2 linked regions of the Arabidopsis thaliana genome follow. The protein of the gene in region 1 interacts with the protein of each later gene in a pairwise test. Each region holds a gene or a part of one and is shown in the gene's direction. Other genes may lie near its edges.

Evidence for each region.
Region 2: the proteins of AT5G56350 (region 1) and SQD1 interact in a two-hybrid assay, tested with the Arabidopsis thaliana proteins (one large-scale study listed by BioGRID).

Annotation. Positions count from the first base shown.
Region 1 is NC_003076.8:22,816,492-22,824,689, reverse strand, and holds AT5G56350 (Pyruvate kinase family protein), read left to right. Parts: upstream 1-1,785; 5' UTR 1,786-2,160; coding exon 2,161-2,382; intron 2,383-3,064; coding exon 3,065-3,526; intron 3,527-3,623; coding exon 3,624-4,436; 3' UTR 4,437-4,754; downstream 4,755-8,198. Other genes in the region: PSL4 (calmodulin-binding protein), read left to right, coding at 1-23, 103-160, 274-342, 511-598, 746-807, 905-956, 1,039-1,104; ATCRT1 (RING/U-box superfamily protein), read right to left, coding at 5,246-6,436.
Region 2 is NC_003075.7:15,931,615-15,939,471, forward strand, and holds SQD1 (sulfoquinovosyldiacylglycerol 1), read left to right. Parts: upstream 1-3,758; 5' UTR 3,759-3,928; intron 3,929-4,398; 5' UTR 4,399-4,436; coding exon 4,437-5,468; intron 5,469-5,550; coding exon 5,551-5,952; 3' UTR 5,953-6,219; downstream 6,220-7,857. Other genes in the region: ZIP9 (ZIP metal ion transporter family), read right to left, coding at 989-1,444, 2,075-2,736, 2,857-2,899, 2,990-3,004. UniProt on the Arabidopsis thaliana protein: Involved in the biosynthesis of sulfolipids found in thylakoid membranes. Converts UDP-glucose and sulfite to the sulfolipid head group precursor UDP-sulfoquinovose.

The DNA of each region.
Region 1 (8,198 bases):
AAAGAAGCTAAAACAAGACTTTGGTCTGTATGATAAGACATCCTAAGCCTTCACTTACGTTTACCTTTCTTTAAGTTAGTCCTTATATATTGTTTATAACAGGACCAGAGAAAGAGTTCTATTCATTCCATGGTCGTTGTTTTGAGAGCAAACAGGGCAAGTAAGAATAATCTTAGCAATTTAATGTCACATCCATTCTTTATTAACATTACTATCAGCTATTAGAATTATATATCTGATGCATTTACTGTTATTACCTAAATAATGCTGTAGGTATACTTACAAAGTCTGCGCATATAAAGAAGCAACACAAGAGGAGGGCTATTCGAAAACTCGGTTAGGGTAAGTGTCATGCCACTTTATCTTTTCTGTGCATGCTGATCTCTTTCATGATACAGATAACTAATAACAAGGAATTGGTTCGCAGATGATAATTAAATATGAGTGATTATTTTATCTGTGCTTATTTTGTCGCTTCCTTATTTTGTTTAATGGAATTTGCTAAAATAGGGAGTGGGACAAATTTGAGAACTCTTACCAATTCATGTCATATACCAACGGAGAAAAATGCTGGAATGGTCCCGATAGAAGCCTGAAGGTAGTGTCTGATTACATTAAATCCAAACTAATTGTTCAATTAATATTTTCTCCAATTATATTTATATAAAAAAAATTATCTGAGAAGATTTTTGCGCTTGCAAAGATCACAGAGATATACAAAGCTTGACTGTCTCACTAAATGCAGGTGAAACTAAGATGTGGGTTGAAAAATGAGCTTATGGATGTCGATGAACCAAGCCGTTGCGAGTAAGTTCTTATCGTAACCTACATCTCACGGGTCATCATCTCCTTTTATCTCCAGTTTTTCTTTTTATATCCTTAAATTTTTACTCTCTTGTTGCAGATATGCGGCCATCTTATCTACTCCAGCTCGGTGTTTGGAAGACAAACTTAAAGTAAGTTTTTGTGTCATCTCAAATCTCAAAACAGACCTACACTAGTTAACACTTCCTTAACCTGGTGTTTGTCTTTGTATAGGAACTACAACAGAAGCTCGAGAAGTTGATGAACCAAGACAAACCTCAGAATCACGACGAACTCTGATCATTTTCACCTGAAATAATTCTTACCATATGCGCACTGCGCTTAGATTTATGTCAGTTTAGACTAGTAATCTTGCTCAGTCGCAAACGTCAAGAGAGGACTTAAAAAAAGAACAGAGAAGTTTTGGGCCGGAAGAGAATGAATGATAGAGTCAAGTTTACCTCATTTGGGTTCAATGGAGATTTTCTATATCAAAAGTATTTAGACAATGTTCAAACTCTGGTTAAGCACAAAGAACAATTCTTCTATATAAAAACATGAAGAAGAGCTAAAACCTTTTAACTTTTTTGGAGTCTTAAAATTTATTCGAGATTGTTGGAGCTCGTCAATATTAAGGTACATATGTCAGTTATCAAACATCTCCAAGTTCACTTTTAGGTCAGAAAATGGTTTTAATGTCTAAACAAGTGGTAGGTTTGGTTTGGTTCAGTTTTAATGCTTTCTTTTACAGATTCCATTACCAATAGAGACAAACTAGAACACAATATTTCCGGAAATAAATTACTGCAGTTCAACACTTAACACCATGAAAGAAGACAAAGAACAAAGATCAACTTCAGAAATTAGTTTAAACACTATTGCCAAAATGCCAAAATACAATTAATACCATTTTTTAATCAACATAAACACTTAAATGAGATATCATTATAAGATATTTTATATTTGGAAAAAAACGTGGCCCGACAATAGATCGAGAAGACATAAAAAGGTAAACGAAAACGAATATTAATAAACAATGTGCGTCACTCCTTAATTATTCAAAGAAAATTAAACCGGTGTGAACCAATCAGTAAACATATGGTCTTTTGTTGACCAAATCTAAACCAATAACCTTCAATTTCATTTCTCATTTTTTACCTCAAAAGTCAAAAAAAACTCTAGAAGAAGACTCTTAACTCATAAATCTCTCATTCTTTCTCAGATTCTCTCTCTCTGTTTTCCTTGTTCTCCAAGCCAGATCTCTCTCCATAAATCTCTCTTCATCTCTCTCTTTCCACCAAACATCCGCGATCCTCGATTCTCAATTCCGTGTCTGTTTTTTTTCTTCACTTAGCGATGGCGATGATAGAGCAAAGGCCGAAGACGAAGATCGTTTGTACTCTAGGTCCAGCTTCCAGATCTGTTCCGATGGTCGAGAAGCTTCTTAGGGCTGGTATGAACGTTGCTCGTTTCAATTTCTCTCATGGATCTCATGAATACCATCAAGAGACTCTCGATAATCTTCATCAAGCTATGCTTAACACTGGGATTCTCTGTGCCGTCATGCTCGACACCAAGGTTCGATTACATGACTTCCATTTTTATAGTTTATGTTGTTTTGTTTCCAATTTCATCTCCTTTGACTTAGATTCGACTGTGATTTGGAATTCTAGGGTTTCTAGATATTTTATTTAGTTTGGATTTTGGTATTTGATTCTATTTATTGATCTGTAACATTGACGCGTCTATTTTATTTCCTATGTGTGAAATGTTTATTTATGCCTCTTTTGTATTTTCATCTATCTTTGGTAAATGGTTTCTGTTTTTTTGTCTGTTTATGCCATTTTTGTGTTAGACTGTTTATTAATGTTTACTCTGCTTATGAACAACGCTTACCAACCTCACTCTCATGATGTTTTACCATCTGGGAATTACTAAATTTATTATGAATTATGAATCTAGATCTGTGAGACTTTCTCCAGTTAGAACTCTGAGTTGTTAGACCAAATTAGTTGAGAAGAAAGAGTTGAAATCTTCTTGTTGTGGAGACCAAATGTAGAAAATGATGTTAGCTCTTGGAAACTGGTGAAGAATTTGTTGTTAATACAAATTTGATAGATGACTAAGACTTATAATTGTTGAGAGTGGTGATAGCTGATGTTCTTGAATTGTCTTATGTATGTGAATTGTGGCAGATCTATTTGTTTGTTTGTTTTCGATTTTGCTAATGGAGTGTTGTTGTTTCTTTTCTGTTATAAAGGGTCCAGAAATCCGAACCGGGTTCTTGAAAGATGGGAAACCAATCCAGCTGAAACAAGGACAAGAGATCACTATTTCGACTGACTATGACTTGAAGGGTGACGAGAACACGATTTGCATGAGCTACAAAAAGTTGGCTGTTGATGTGAACCCAGGAATGGTCATTCTTTGTGCTGATGGTACAATCTCCTTACTGGTTCTCTCTTGTGACAAAGAGAACGGTACAGTCCGTTGCCGGTGTGAGAACTCTGCGATGCTCGGTGAGAGAAAGAACGTTAATCTCCCAGGTGTTGTTGTGGATCTCCCAACTCTAACTGAGAAAGACAAAGAAGACATCATGCAATGGGGAGTCCCGAATCAAATCGACATGATTGCTCTGTCTTTTGTCAGGAAAGGTTCAGACTTGGTTCAAGTCCGGAAACTTCTAGGAAAGCACGCCAAAAACATTCTTCTCATGTCTAAGGTATGTTAAATCAAAGCTCTCTTTTTAGTTCCGGAAACTACAGGATCAAATCTTTAGGTTGTGATGGTTTTGTGCTATCTTCTTTTTGATTGATTAGGTCGAGAACCAAGAAGGTGTGGCAAATTTTGATGACATTTTGGTCAATTCAGACGCTTTCATGATTGCTAGAGGAGATCTGGGCATGGAAATCCCGATTGAGAAGATCTTCTTAGCTCAGAAGGTGATGATCTACAAATGCAACATCCAGGGAAAACCTGTGGTCACAGCAACTCAGATGCTCGAGTCCATGATCAAATCTCCTAGACCCACAAGAGCCGAAGCTACGGATGTAGCAAACGCAGTCCTTGATGGTACAGACTGTGTCATGCTCAGTGGTGAAACTGCAGCTGGAGCATACCCTGAACTAGCCGTCCGTACAATGGCTAAGATCTGCGTGGAAGCCGAGAGCACCCTTGACTACGGTGATGTCTTCAAGAGGATCATGCTGTACTCTCCAGTTCCAATGAGTCCACTCGAGTCACTTGCATCTTCAGCTGTCAGAACTGCTAACTCAGCTAGAGCCACTCTCATCATGGTCCTAACCAGAGGAGGAAGCACAGCAAGACTTGTGGCTAAGTACAGACCAGGAATGCCTATTCTATCCGTCGTTGTTCCTGAGATCAAAACCGACTTCTTTGACTGGTCTTGCAGCGATGAATCCCCCGCGAGACACAGCCTTATCTTCCGTGGTCTGATCCCAGTGCTCTACGCTGGATCCGCAAGAGCCTCACACGATGAATCAACAGAAGAAGCTATCGAGTTTGCTACTCAGTACGGGAAAGAGAAAGAGCTATGCAAGACTGGAGATTCCGTTGTTGCTCTACTCCGAGTCGGTAATGCTTCCGTGATCAAGATCTTGACCGTCAAGTGATGATTCCACTCAAAAATTCACGTTTTTGGCGTTTGGGGAACGCTACTTTAAACGTTTTATTATGAAACTATTCAAGATTGTGATTAAAATCTTGAGATAGAAAACTCAAGTTCTATTTTTTGCTTATTACCACAACTACTGTGACCGGTGAATCCACTTAACAGCTCCTTTTGGGATATTTTGGTTGTATTGAAACCTATTGGATCATTCATACACGTATCAATTATCATGATTTCTTTTTGTTTCTCAAGTATTTCTTATGTATACGCCAATACAATGGTGAAAATATGTTTATGTTTCATGTTCTTATAATCTTACAATGACAGGGACATGAAAGACAAAAAAGAAGACAGCGCATGAATCGTCCCATACAAAAATCATTCCGACAAAGACTCATCATTATCTCCATTTTTGTAAAATTCCCATCATTATTTGGGATTCATCTGAAAATATAATTTTCATATTTAAAAACAAAGATAATGGACACACATAATTTGATCATCTCTGTACAAAAACATGAAAGATTGAATCATTGTATATATTTCGTCATTATTTGGACTCGATTGACAGATAATTTCATACTTGAAAACTAAAACAATGGAAACTGAAATTTGATCATCTCTGTACACCAACAATGGATATTTGTTTTTCAACAGTCTGAGTGAAAGAACATCATTTCTATGTACAGTAAAGCAGAGAATGAAATGCAGAGGAAATAACAAGTTCAATAGCTAGAAAAATGAGAGAACAACAAAAGATGAAGAACAATAACAAAATCCAAGATGTTTTAGTTTTTGATTGTTTTGCTCTCAGCGAGAAGAACCAGAAGATCTTGAGAAGAAATTGTTCTCACCAGATTGAGATCCAGAGGTTGAAGAAGACGAAGAAGAAGAAGACGAGAACAATCCACTAAACGGCCATGGAAACGAAAACCGTCTCCCATTTCCACTCCTCACCTCATCCTCTCTTCCTCTATCCGCATTTCCCACATTCTCAACAACGTTTCCGTTACTCGTTTCCCGAACATTTCTTGTTCTCAGCACTCTCTCGGAATCAGTCTTAGTCTCATCATCATCATCAGCACTAGAAGGAAGCTCAAAACGACACACAGGACAAGAACTATGAAGCTCAAGCCAGGGAACAATACACCGAACATGAAACTTATGCTTACAAGGCATCTCTTTAGCTTCCGTACCTTTCTCAAAATCATCCAAACAAACAGAACATTGCAAAGGTTCCATTATCTTAACCGTTGGTAAAGCTTCAACAGCTTCTTTACGAGCAGGTGGAGTCCCTTGCCTATTAGGATCATTCTCAGCCAAATGCTGAAGCAAAAGATCTAAACCAGGTCCAATGAAGTAATCTCCAAGTGAAGTCAATGAAGGATGATTCTGATTCTGATCCGAAGGAACAACTAGCGATTGGTTATACGGATTAATCATTATAACTCTATCCCTCTCTCGAGAATTATCCCAATTGTTATCAGAGCTTTCATACTCAGAAGCAATCCCTGCACGAATCCCTTGAAGCAACTGCAATATATTCCCTGAGCTTCTTCGTCTTCTCCTCAAGATAGATTCAAACTCTCTATCTAAATCAATCTCTCCACCATGTCTCCTAGCTCGATGATGACGATACACGTTATTATTACTGTTGTTACTATCATTCCCATTCCCATCAGCATTAGTAGTCAAGTCATCACCATTATCATCATTCTCTTCACCAAACTCTGATCTTCTAAACCTTCTTCGTCTTCGAGGACTACTCATCATTCCAAGCAAGATTGGTGCCCATAGAGACAATGCACGGTCTGTTCCAAAATCGGTTTCTGAATCTTGAACATCTCTTATGCCTCTGCCACCACCTCCACCGCCATTACCGCTCATTTCTTCGATGAATCCGCTTTGGCAAAAGGGACATTTGATCTCAGATTCCATTACTGGATTCACCATTTGTGAACACATGTGACACCAATACCTAGCTGCCATTGTTTCCTCCATGTTCCTTACTTCACCCCCACAAATCTATTGATTCTGCAAAACAAGAAGAACACACAATGAAACCCTAGAAATTTTGTTTATCATCTACCAATTTGGTTTTAAATTTCAGATCTAAGACCCTCAAAGGTTATAACTTTTATACAAGTATCAATCTAAATGGGTAGATTTTGTCATTAATAATCCAAATTAAATGATTTTGACCAATCAAATTCAGACAAGAACATCTTTTGAAAAAGGAGAGGAAAAAGTCAAGATTTTTACATAAATTTGGATAAAACCCAAAAAGAATTAAACCCAGAAAAGGAGAAAAACATCTGAAGAACCCAGAATCTTGTAAAAGATCAAAGAGAGAAAACAAAACCCTTAAAAAGGAATCAAATTTCTAGCTTTTTGTTTTCTTCCTTTGTCATAAATTTTCTCAAATAAAGAAACACAATACATGAGACAAAGATAAACCCAGAAATTTACATGCCCACAACAAACATAAAAATCATACCTTTAAAATGTCTCTACTTTTTCTTGAAAACCCAAGATTTTTTTTTTAAAATCTGTCCTTGCTTCTTTCGATTCCTTTATAGAAAATAAAACCCAGAAAAAGGCTCAATCTTTTTTGTCCAACGATTAGAGAAAAAATGGAGAAGGAAGAAGAAAGAAAGAGGAAATGAAGAAGAAGAAAGAGTGGAAGGAAACAAAACAAAAGAAAACAACCCAACCACGTCCTCTTCTAACCCCCCAACTCGTTCCTTGTTTCCTCTTACTTTATGTCCTTTTCTTAATTAGCATTTTATTAATCTTTCATTTAATTATTAATCAAGTTTTAAGACTTTTTGTTAATTATAGTCTTTTATTTTGCTTCCTTCACTAATTTTGAGGTTTATTTATTACTAATCTACCAGTAGCTGATTCAACGCCTGTGGTCTTCGTTTAATCGAGTTTTCATAACTACTTGTTTGGTTTTATTATATTGACTAGTTGTATGTATATTCTAGTTGCATTGAGAATATCAAGTAGTATCTTCTTCTATGTAAATTATATGTAAATATTCGTTTGATGTTGACTTCTTAGATTAAAGAAAATTAAAGACGCGTGAACTTTATTTTCAGATTGAGTGTATATATATCCGTTAGTTACATTCTTCAATAATGTGTTTACACACTATTTTATGATACGATAAATATCAGGACTTGAATAGTTTTCAACATGATAACGTCTCCCAATAGCTTAACTAAGATTTCAAAATCATACATGCACCAACCAAACAAAGATGATTGTTACTTGACATATTGACCATAGTTTCAAAGAAATAGAAGCTGACAAGTACGAGAACAGATAGGCGATGATGACAACTTTTTAAGCATCTTAGATTTCTTGTTATGATCGGTGGGTTTAGATGAGAAAGTTGCTTCTTCGAAAAATTTGCGTTTCTTAAGATGAATGCAGCTACTTGTTTCTCTTCTTTTGTTCCATAATATTGTATCCATTCGAGAGTTTCAAGACTCGATAAAATTGAACTTGGTTCATTCCAGCGCGGTTGTGGTTCACCATCCCGAATATGGTACTGGTAAAGTTTTAGAGCCGAGGTAAGTCTGATTTTTTTTCTTTTTTTGTAGTTTTAGCTTCGTTTGTGAAAAATTTCCAATAAATTTTGACTCGTCTTTAAATAATGGTGGTTTCTACACATGACTTCACATCTTCACTGTTTAGACAGAAGAGGATTGCTCTAAACAAAAGGCTAATGAAGATGTATGAGCTAGAAATTTTG
Region 2 (7,857 bases), on another chromosome or scaffold:
AACTATTGTGATTTTAAAAGTAGGATTATTTAGTGTCTTTAGTTCGCAAATTTCTTATTTTCCTACAAAAACTGTAGTTCCCCTCTAATGGGACATACGTAAATTGTAAAGTTTAATCAATGTTAAGTTTTTTTGGTTCTGATTTACATATCCAACAAAAAAGTACGAAAAAATAGAATTTATGCACCAAATCCTTGAGATAATTTACAGGAATTGTGGGATATGCTGTAAAAGCACGAGATAAAATTTGAAAGGAAGGGAACTGAAGTGGAAGAGATTGGGTATCAGTGGACAAAAATGTTTGTCACCTTTATCACTCAGAAAGATAACAACAAATAAATATATATATGGCAAACAAATTTTAATTATTTTGGTTCACATGAAAATATATGATAAATTAGGTGGCGGAATGCGTTTCACAGAGAGTTTATCTCCACAAAGAAAATTTTAATTAAACAGATAAATATAGGGTTCGTCTTTTTCTTCATCATGCATGGGAACCATCGTCATCCATATATATATATATTCGACAGAAAATGAAATATTATAGTTTTCGACCTTCCAAGAATAATATATCTTAAAGATCGTGGAAAAGATTACTCATGAGTCATGACCTACTCTTTTTAAAAACACTTAGTTCATATATATGGTTCTATTATGGCGTTTCTTGAGCTAAATCAAAATGAAGGATTAGAATATGCTCGAAAAGGCGTCAAGAAAATCTTTGGATTTCAGTTGCATACTTGCTTGTAAAAACTAATTGTATTTGTTTTTGTTTTTTGTTCAAAAATTAATTATTTGTTTACCAGCTACAAAAATATATAACATGATTGATAAAGAGTGAATATCTAATAGAATTGATTACAAACATTATTTTGAAACAAATAGAGTGATAGGCATACCTATAATAATTCTGTCCAAAAGAAAAAAGAAAAAGGCATGCCTAAATTTATTACTTTCATAAACAAATAGTAATAATGAAAAGTGATCAAGCCCAAATTGCAAGAGCAGACATCATCCCAGCTCCAAGAAACAAAAAGCAATAAGAAACAACTTGAACTCTGAAATCAACACTCATCTTCTTGCTCAAGAAATCCGCAGCGATCAAATCCACAAGCGCCATGTACACAAGTATCCCCGCAGAGAGAGAATCGAGCACTCCTTCAGCCACCAATGCTGCAACGCTATAAGAGTTGTAAGATGAGGCAATGGCCGTTCCCACCGCTACACCGATCGGAGTAGTGATGGCGAAGAAGAAAGCCATCATGGCAGATCCACGCGGGGTTAGTCTGGCCTCTGCGACGCAGCCACCGAGGGCAAAACCTTCGAAGAATTGGTGGAAGGAAAGAGCGAGAAGGAGAGGACGTATGGTGCATGGGCTATGTGATACTCCAAGCGATATTCCTATGATTATTGAATGTGACACTATTCCCATTTCAAGTATCTGAATACAAAAATATAAGGGTATCATCAATTGATTTTGTGCATCGACACTATACAAGGAAATTATATAAACGGATTGGTTTGACTAAGTCACATAACGTCAAAATATATTAACACACACACACACACCAAAAAAAAAAAATGTTTCCACAATGCGTTTAAGTCGTCATTTGTATCTTTGGAAGAAAACTTAAATAATAGTATGATATTTTAGAATTATCTTATTTTTTCGTTTTCATATTAATAATGTTTTGGTAGAATGAACATGAAGTAGTACTATATATAATAGTTACGAAGATAACATTAAATAATTACTTAAACAAGCAATAAAATAAATTTTATTATTTTTTTCAATAACAAAATCTATATAGTGATTAGCAACTAACTAAACTTGGCATTGTAAAACTTTATAGTTGATTACTATAACAACTCTAAAACAGCTTATGCAAGTCATGTACAGTTATTAGAATTCATCCAATTGACTTGGCTACATTGTATATGAATGAAGTCAACTGCATTTGAAATAAATAAATCTTATTAGCATTAAAGAACTCAAAACTTAAAAGTCAGAGCTTACGAAAAACAAAGTCAAAGTCAAAAAACATATGAAGAAAAGAAAAAGGTCGTTTACCTGAGAAACAACAACGTGCCTCACACCACTGTCCAAGCCTACGTCCCCGTGGCCGTGGCTGTGGCCGTGTCCATGACCGGAAACACCACTTCTCTTAGAGAGAGCCTCAAAACCTTCGGCACCCATGGAGAGGCTATGACGGTGATGCTCCGCGTGAGCCCGCATCCCCACGATATGCAACGCCCCTCCATCTTCTTGATCTCTCAGAAAACCCGATTCAAGACCTGGGTCAGACATAACCGAAACTTGCGTACCAAGCGACTCGACGGACTGGTTCATCATCTTCTCCTGTTTCCTCTCGTAGTATCCCGTGATCATGAAATCCGCGAGCAGAGTAAGAAGCGCCGCGACCATGGCGAAGAATTCTGGAAAAGGGAACATTTTCCATGGAAACTCCGGCAGACATGGGTCGGACAAAGCTTTGGATCCGCCCGAGAGCATGTGAACGAACCCTGTTGCGAGGATAACTCCTGCTGCGAACGCTTTGGCTCCCCTCATTAAGCCACCGTTTAACGGAAGTAGGGTTCCAACTAGAGGAATCGAGACTCCGGCAGCTCCGGAGATAAGGATCGACGCCATAGCTGCGAACTTGAGGGTAAGAGCAGCTGCGTCATCTCGGCACGGGTCTGAGTCGCCCGAGTCACAGCTAGTTGTGAACGACTCTGTTTTGTTACATGCAAAAATAAATTGAGTTAACTTTGCTAAGAAAATCTCAAAATTTGCATTTAAGTGTGTTTAAGAGCGAAATGAAGTAATTGCTTTGAGATTTGAAGTGACAATACCTGTCAAACCAGATGATAATGGTCGAAGAAACTGCCAAAAATCCTGAAAACATTATGAGGCAAAATTATGTGAGGAAACAGGATTGAAGAAGCAAAATAACATTAAATAGATGAAGTGGAAGAAGTTTCAGACCTGTAAGAGAGACATTTACTAAATCCGATTAGGCGATTAAACTTGTAGAATTATATAAATTATTGCCAAGGAAACCAGCAAGCTAAGTATATATGGGTTATTAATATTATGGAGTTGTCTGTGTGTTTTATAAAGAAAGATTGGGAGAATGTCAATCAGTGCGAGGGTTTGTGTGTGCGTGCACGTACGTTAACAAGGTCACATGAGGTTCACGGGAATCAAATGACCATAGAATGTCGTCATTTTCATCTAGTACCCTCATTGACAAGAATATTAAAGTTTGGAAGATAATAACTACGAGAAAACAAATATAGAATTAGAGATGAGATGTATGAGAATGTTTTGTTATAATTGAAGTCTTTGTTCGTATCTTGCATCAGAAGTATGACTCTTGTTTGGTCAACTTGCAGAAAAATGACTATTACAATGCGAAATACTAGTAATGTTTTGCGTCTTAATAAAATTTCATTCAAAAGATTATGTAAGTTAGGTTTGCATTTTACAGTTGATTTTGTTTTTCTCCTATCTCATGATTCTCTGTTTTAATAATTAAAAGTTAAAATTTAGAAAATAGCCACAAACATATTCAAAAAGTATATATTTGGGCCAACCGGCCCAGTAAGGGAAGAATGTTCCTTAAGTTGCCTAAATGAGCGACTGAGAAACTGGCCCACAAAGGCCGGACCTGTATCATTCACAACCGGAAAACTTTAAAACTAATAAACCAACGTTCTTAAAAAAGCGACACTTTGGGCCATAATTTGTTGGGAAGGGAATAAGTAAGAATATGCTTTGGGCATATCTGATGATTTATATCTGTCTCATCTCATCTCTCATCGTTCCGGGAGAAGAGAAGAGAGACCCATCCCTCACTTCAAAGTTCAAAGTCTCGAAGGATCTTCTCCAACTCTCTCTAAACAAGATTCCAAATTTTCAAAGGTAAGCAATCGTTTCTTCTAATGAATTTCATTTCTCCGGTTTTGTAAGTTGAGTGATTTCGTTTTGAAGAAACTCTGAATATGATAGGAAATCAAAATTCACAGAGTTTTCATTCAGTTGGGTTTTCTCTGAATTTCATCAATGTACTTCTTTCTTACATTTACTTTAGTTGATCAAATAAATATCCAGTCTTTGACAATAGCTGATTTTCAGATTCGATAAAAGACTTCAAATTTCGTGTGTTTTGATTCTTCTCTTGTTATGGACGTAGCTGATTTAGGGGGGGGGGTGTGAAGATAAAGTTTCGATTTCTATTCATGTCTTTTTGGATTTTGATTTGAATTTGAAGTTAAACTAGAGAAAATCAGCTGAATCCTTACTTGTTATATGGTATGAAACATCTACTTGATATGTCTTGTTCTGCTGAACCAAATTATGTCTTGAAATCTTAGCTGCTTTTGTTTTTGCAGGTGAATTTGTTTGATAGAATCAAGAACAAACCTTTAAAATGGCGCATCTACTTTCAGCTTCATGCCCTTCAGTTATCTCACTTAGCAGCAGCAGCAGCAAGAATTCAGTTAAGCCGTTTGTTTCAGGGCAGACCTTCTTCAATGCTCAGCTTCTTTCAAGATCTTCTCTCAAAGGACTTCTCTTCCAAGAGAAGAAACCGAGAAAAAGCTGCGTTTTCAGAGCAACTGCTGTACCTATAACCCAACAAGCACCACCCGAAACATCTACCAATAACTCATCCTCTAAACCAAAGCGTGTTATGGTCATTGGTGGAGATGGTTATTGCGGTTGGGCTACTGCTCTCCACTTGTCCAAGAAGAATTACGAAGTTTGCATTGTTGACAACCTTGTAAGACGTCTTTTCGACCACCAGCTTGGACTTGAGTCATTGACTCCTATTGCCTCCATTCATGACCGAATCAGCCGATGGAAGGCTTTGACAGGGAAATCAATTGAGTTGTACGTTGGTGATATCTGTGATTTCGAATTCTTAGCTGAGTCTTTCAAGTCTTTTGAGCCGGATTCAGTTGTCCACTTTGGGGAACAGAGATCCGCTCCTTACTCGATGATTGACCGGTCCAGAGCAGTTTATACACAGCACAACAATGTGATTGGGACTCTCAACGTTCTCTTTGCTATAAAAGAGTTTGGAGAGGAGTGTCATCTTGTAAAACTTGGGACGATGGGTGAGTATGGAACTCCAAATATTGACATCGAGGAAGGTTATATAACCATAACCCACAACGGTAGAACTGACACTTTGCCATACCCCAAGCAAGCTAGCTCCTTTTATCATCTTAGCAAAGTTCATGATTCGCACAACATTGCTTTTACTTGCAAGGCTTGGGGTATTAGAGCCACTGATCTCAACCAAGGAGTTGTTTATGGAGTGAAGACTGATGAGACAGAGATGCATGAGGAACTCCGTAACCGACTGGATTACGATGCTGTGTTTGGTACAGCACTTAACCGGTTCTGTGTGCAAGCTGCTGTTGGTCACCCACTTACAGTTTATGGTAAAGGTGGTCAGGTAAATGACTTTCTTGATCTGTTTTCACATGAAATTTCAATCGAAAAATTTGAGGTTTTGATTGAAGTTTTTCCCTTTGCAGACGAGAGGCTACCTCGATATAAGAGACACGGTTCAATGTGTTGAGATCGCTATAGCAAACCCGGCAAAAGCTGGTGAGTTCCGGGTCTTCAACCAATTTACAGAACAGTTTTCAGTCAATGAACTGGCTTCACTCGTCACTAAAGCGGGTTCAAAGCTTGGGCTAGACGTGAAAAAGATGACGGTGCCTAACCCGAGAGTGGAGGCAGAAGAACATTACTACAACGCAAAGCACACTAAGCTGATGGAACTTGGACTTGAGCCTCACTATCTATCTGACTCACTTCTTGATTCGTTGCTCAACTTTGCTGTTCAGTTTAAAGATCGTGTGGACACGAAACAAATCATGCCTAGTGTTTCCTGGAAGAAGATTGGCGTCAAGACTAAGTCCATGACCACATAAAGTGCAGACCAATATTACACATAAGGAGAGATTATGAAAGAGATGATGTGTTGTTTGGTATCTTCAAACTTCATTTCTGCAAAAGACTTGCTAGGCTTAAGAGGTTTTGTCCATATTACATTGTGCAGGTTCTTTAATGTTAGATCTTAATTTCGATGAAAATGTTATAATGTTGCCTTAAATGTTATGTAATGAGAAAAACTATATTATATGAAAAATAAGAAAATGTTAAATAAGTAACAGAAAACCATCTTTTACTTCAGTTAAGAGAATCTGACGAATATCGATCAATGGTTGCAGAAAAATTTCTTCGAGATCTTAGACGAATAAAACTGTAATTAAATTTCTTCAATAAAATCTGGTTTAAAATTTATATAAGTTACGTAATACTTTTGGTGTATTAAATTTAAAATAATGGAGAGTGGTGTTGGTGGGTCATCGTCGTTGGCTATTTTTAAAAAATATTAATGTCTTTTCCAAATACGAAGGAAACTTGTGGGGTCAAACTCTAAGGAATAGAGTGGGTTTTGTATAATTATAATTGTAGCCCTAATGATTCTCTCGTTTTTTCGTATACTATTTTTCTAAAGAACAATAAACGATTCGATTACTACTATAGTTATAAAAAAAAAGAAACAGCTTACACATATTTTCACTTTCCCCATTTATTTTGTTTGACGAAAACCACATAACCAAAAGTAAGTCGATATCCCAATTGGCCAATTCCCATTTATTTTTTAATTGAAGAAAAATATGCAATATGATTTTATTTTTTTTCCGTCAAAATATGCAATATGATTATATGAATAAACTGCACTCTATCTGGACTCTGTGTTCCGCTTACGTACGTCTATGATTTTTTTTGCGTGCTTTTCTTTGAAACTATCAAATGAATCCTTAGTGGCCGAGCTGCCACCATATCTCAGAGTTACACGTAAAAGCGTATTGGGAAAATTTAATATTCATGTTGTGCGCCTCTTAACACATTTGTATCTACGATTTTGTCTCTGTTGTTTTTGCAGCATATCCGAAAATAGCACCAATGAGGAAAAGTGAGAGAGCTTGCTGTCCAAAAAGTGTATATATTTTTATTCAATTTTTTTAATGCTACTTACAAATGATATTGAAAAATAAAAGAAACTAGATATAAATAATAAAACAAGTGGATGGAATGATCAAATAATTGAACAAACAATTCTCCATAGTTAACACTTAACACTATTCAACTTAACTGAAATTAATAGTTTGAAAGCGTGGAGGCTTTTGGTGTGGAGGCACTGAGAGTTTTCTTTGCATTTTATTGCAAATATTAATATCATTATTTACTAAACATTTGTTGGAGAGATTGTTGGTTATGATTGATGAGCTCATCATCCTCGGCCTCCATCAGTATTCATCAACTTGCGAATTAAAAATATATACAAAATAGCATAACCTTAATTTCGAAGACATGTCACATGATCTCACACAAAATTCTTAATCCCACAAACTACCACCAAGTTGTATATAGGTCGGCAAGTTTTTTTCTTTTTTCAAGTTAATTTCGGATGTATGAACGTATGTGCATACACTTTACAGTATGGTTTTGAAACTTGAATATCAAAAATTTATCTATGGAAATTACTCCTTAGCAAATGATATCTGAGTAACAAAGAATAATAGTATTTTGTAACACGCACAAAAATATGAACTAGTGGAATATATTAAAAACGATGTCTCCGTTACTTCGCCTATACTGAAACTCGTTTGAGTTTTAACAAATTAAAGGTAAAAAATATATTACGCTTCGCACATGCAAAAAATAAAAATGACTGCATCCAGATCATCCGAAGCTCTCTCGGTAAACTAGCACTTTAGTGTGAGATCAGCACCTAACATTTATTTGACATAGGTCAACCTTGACCC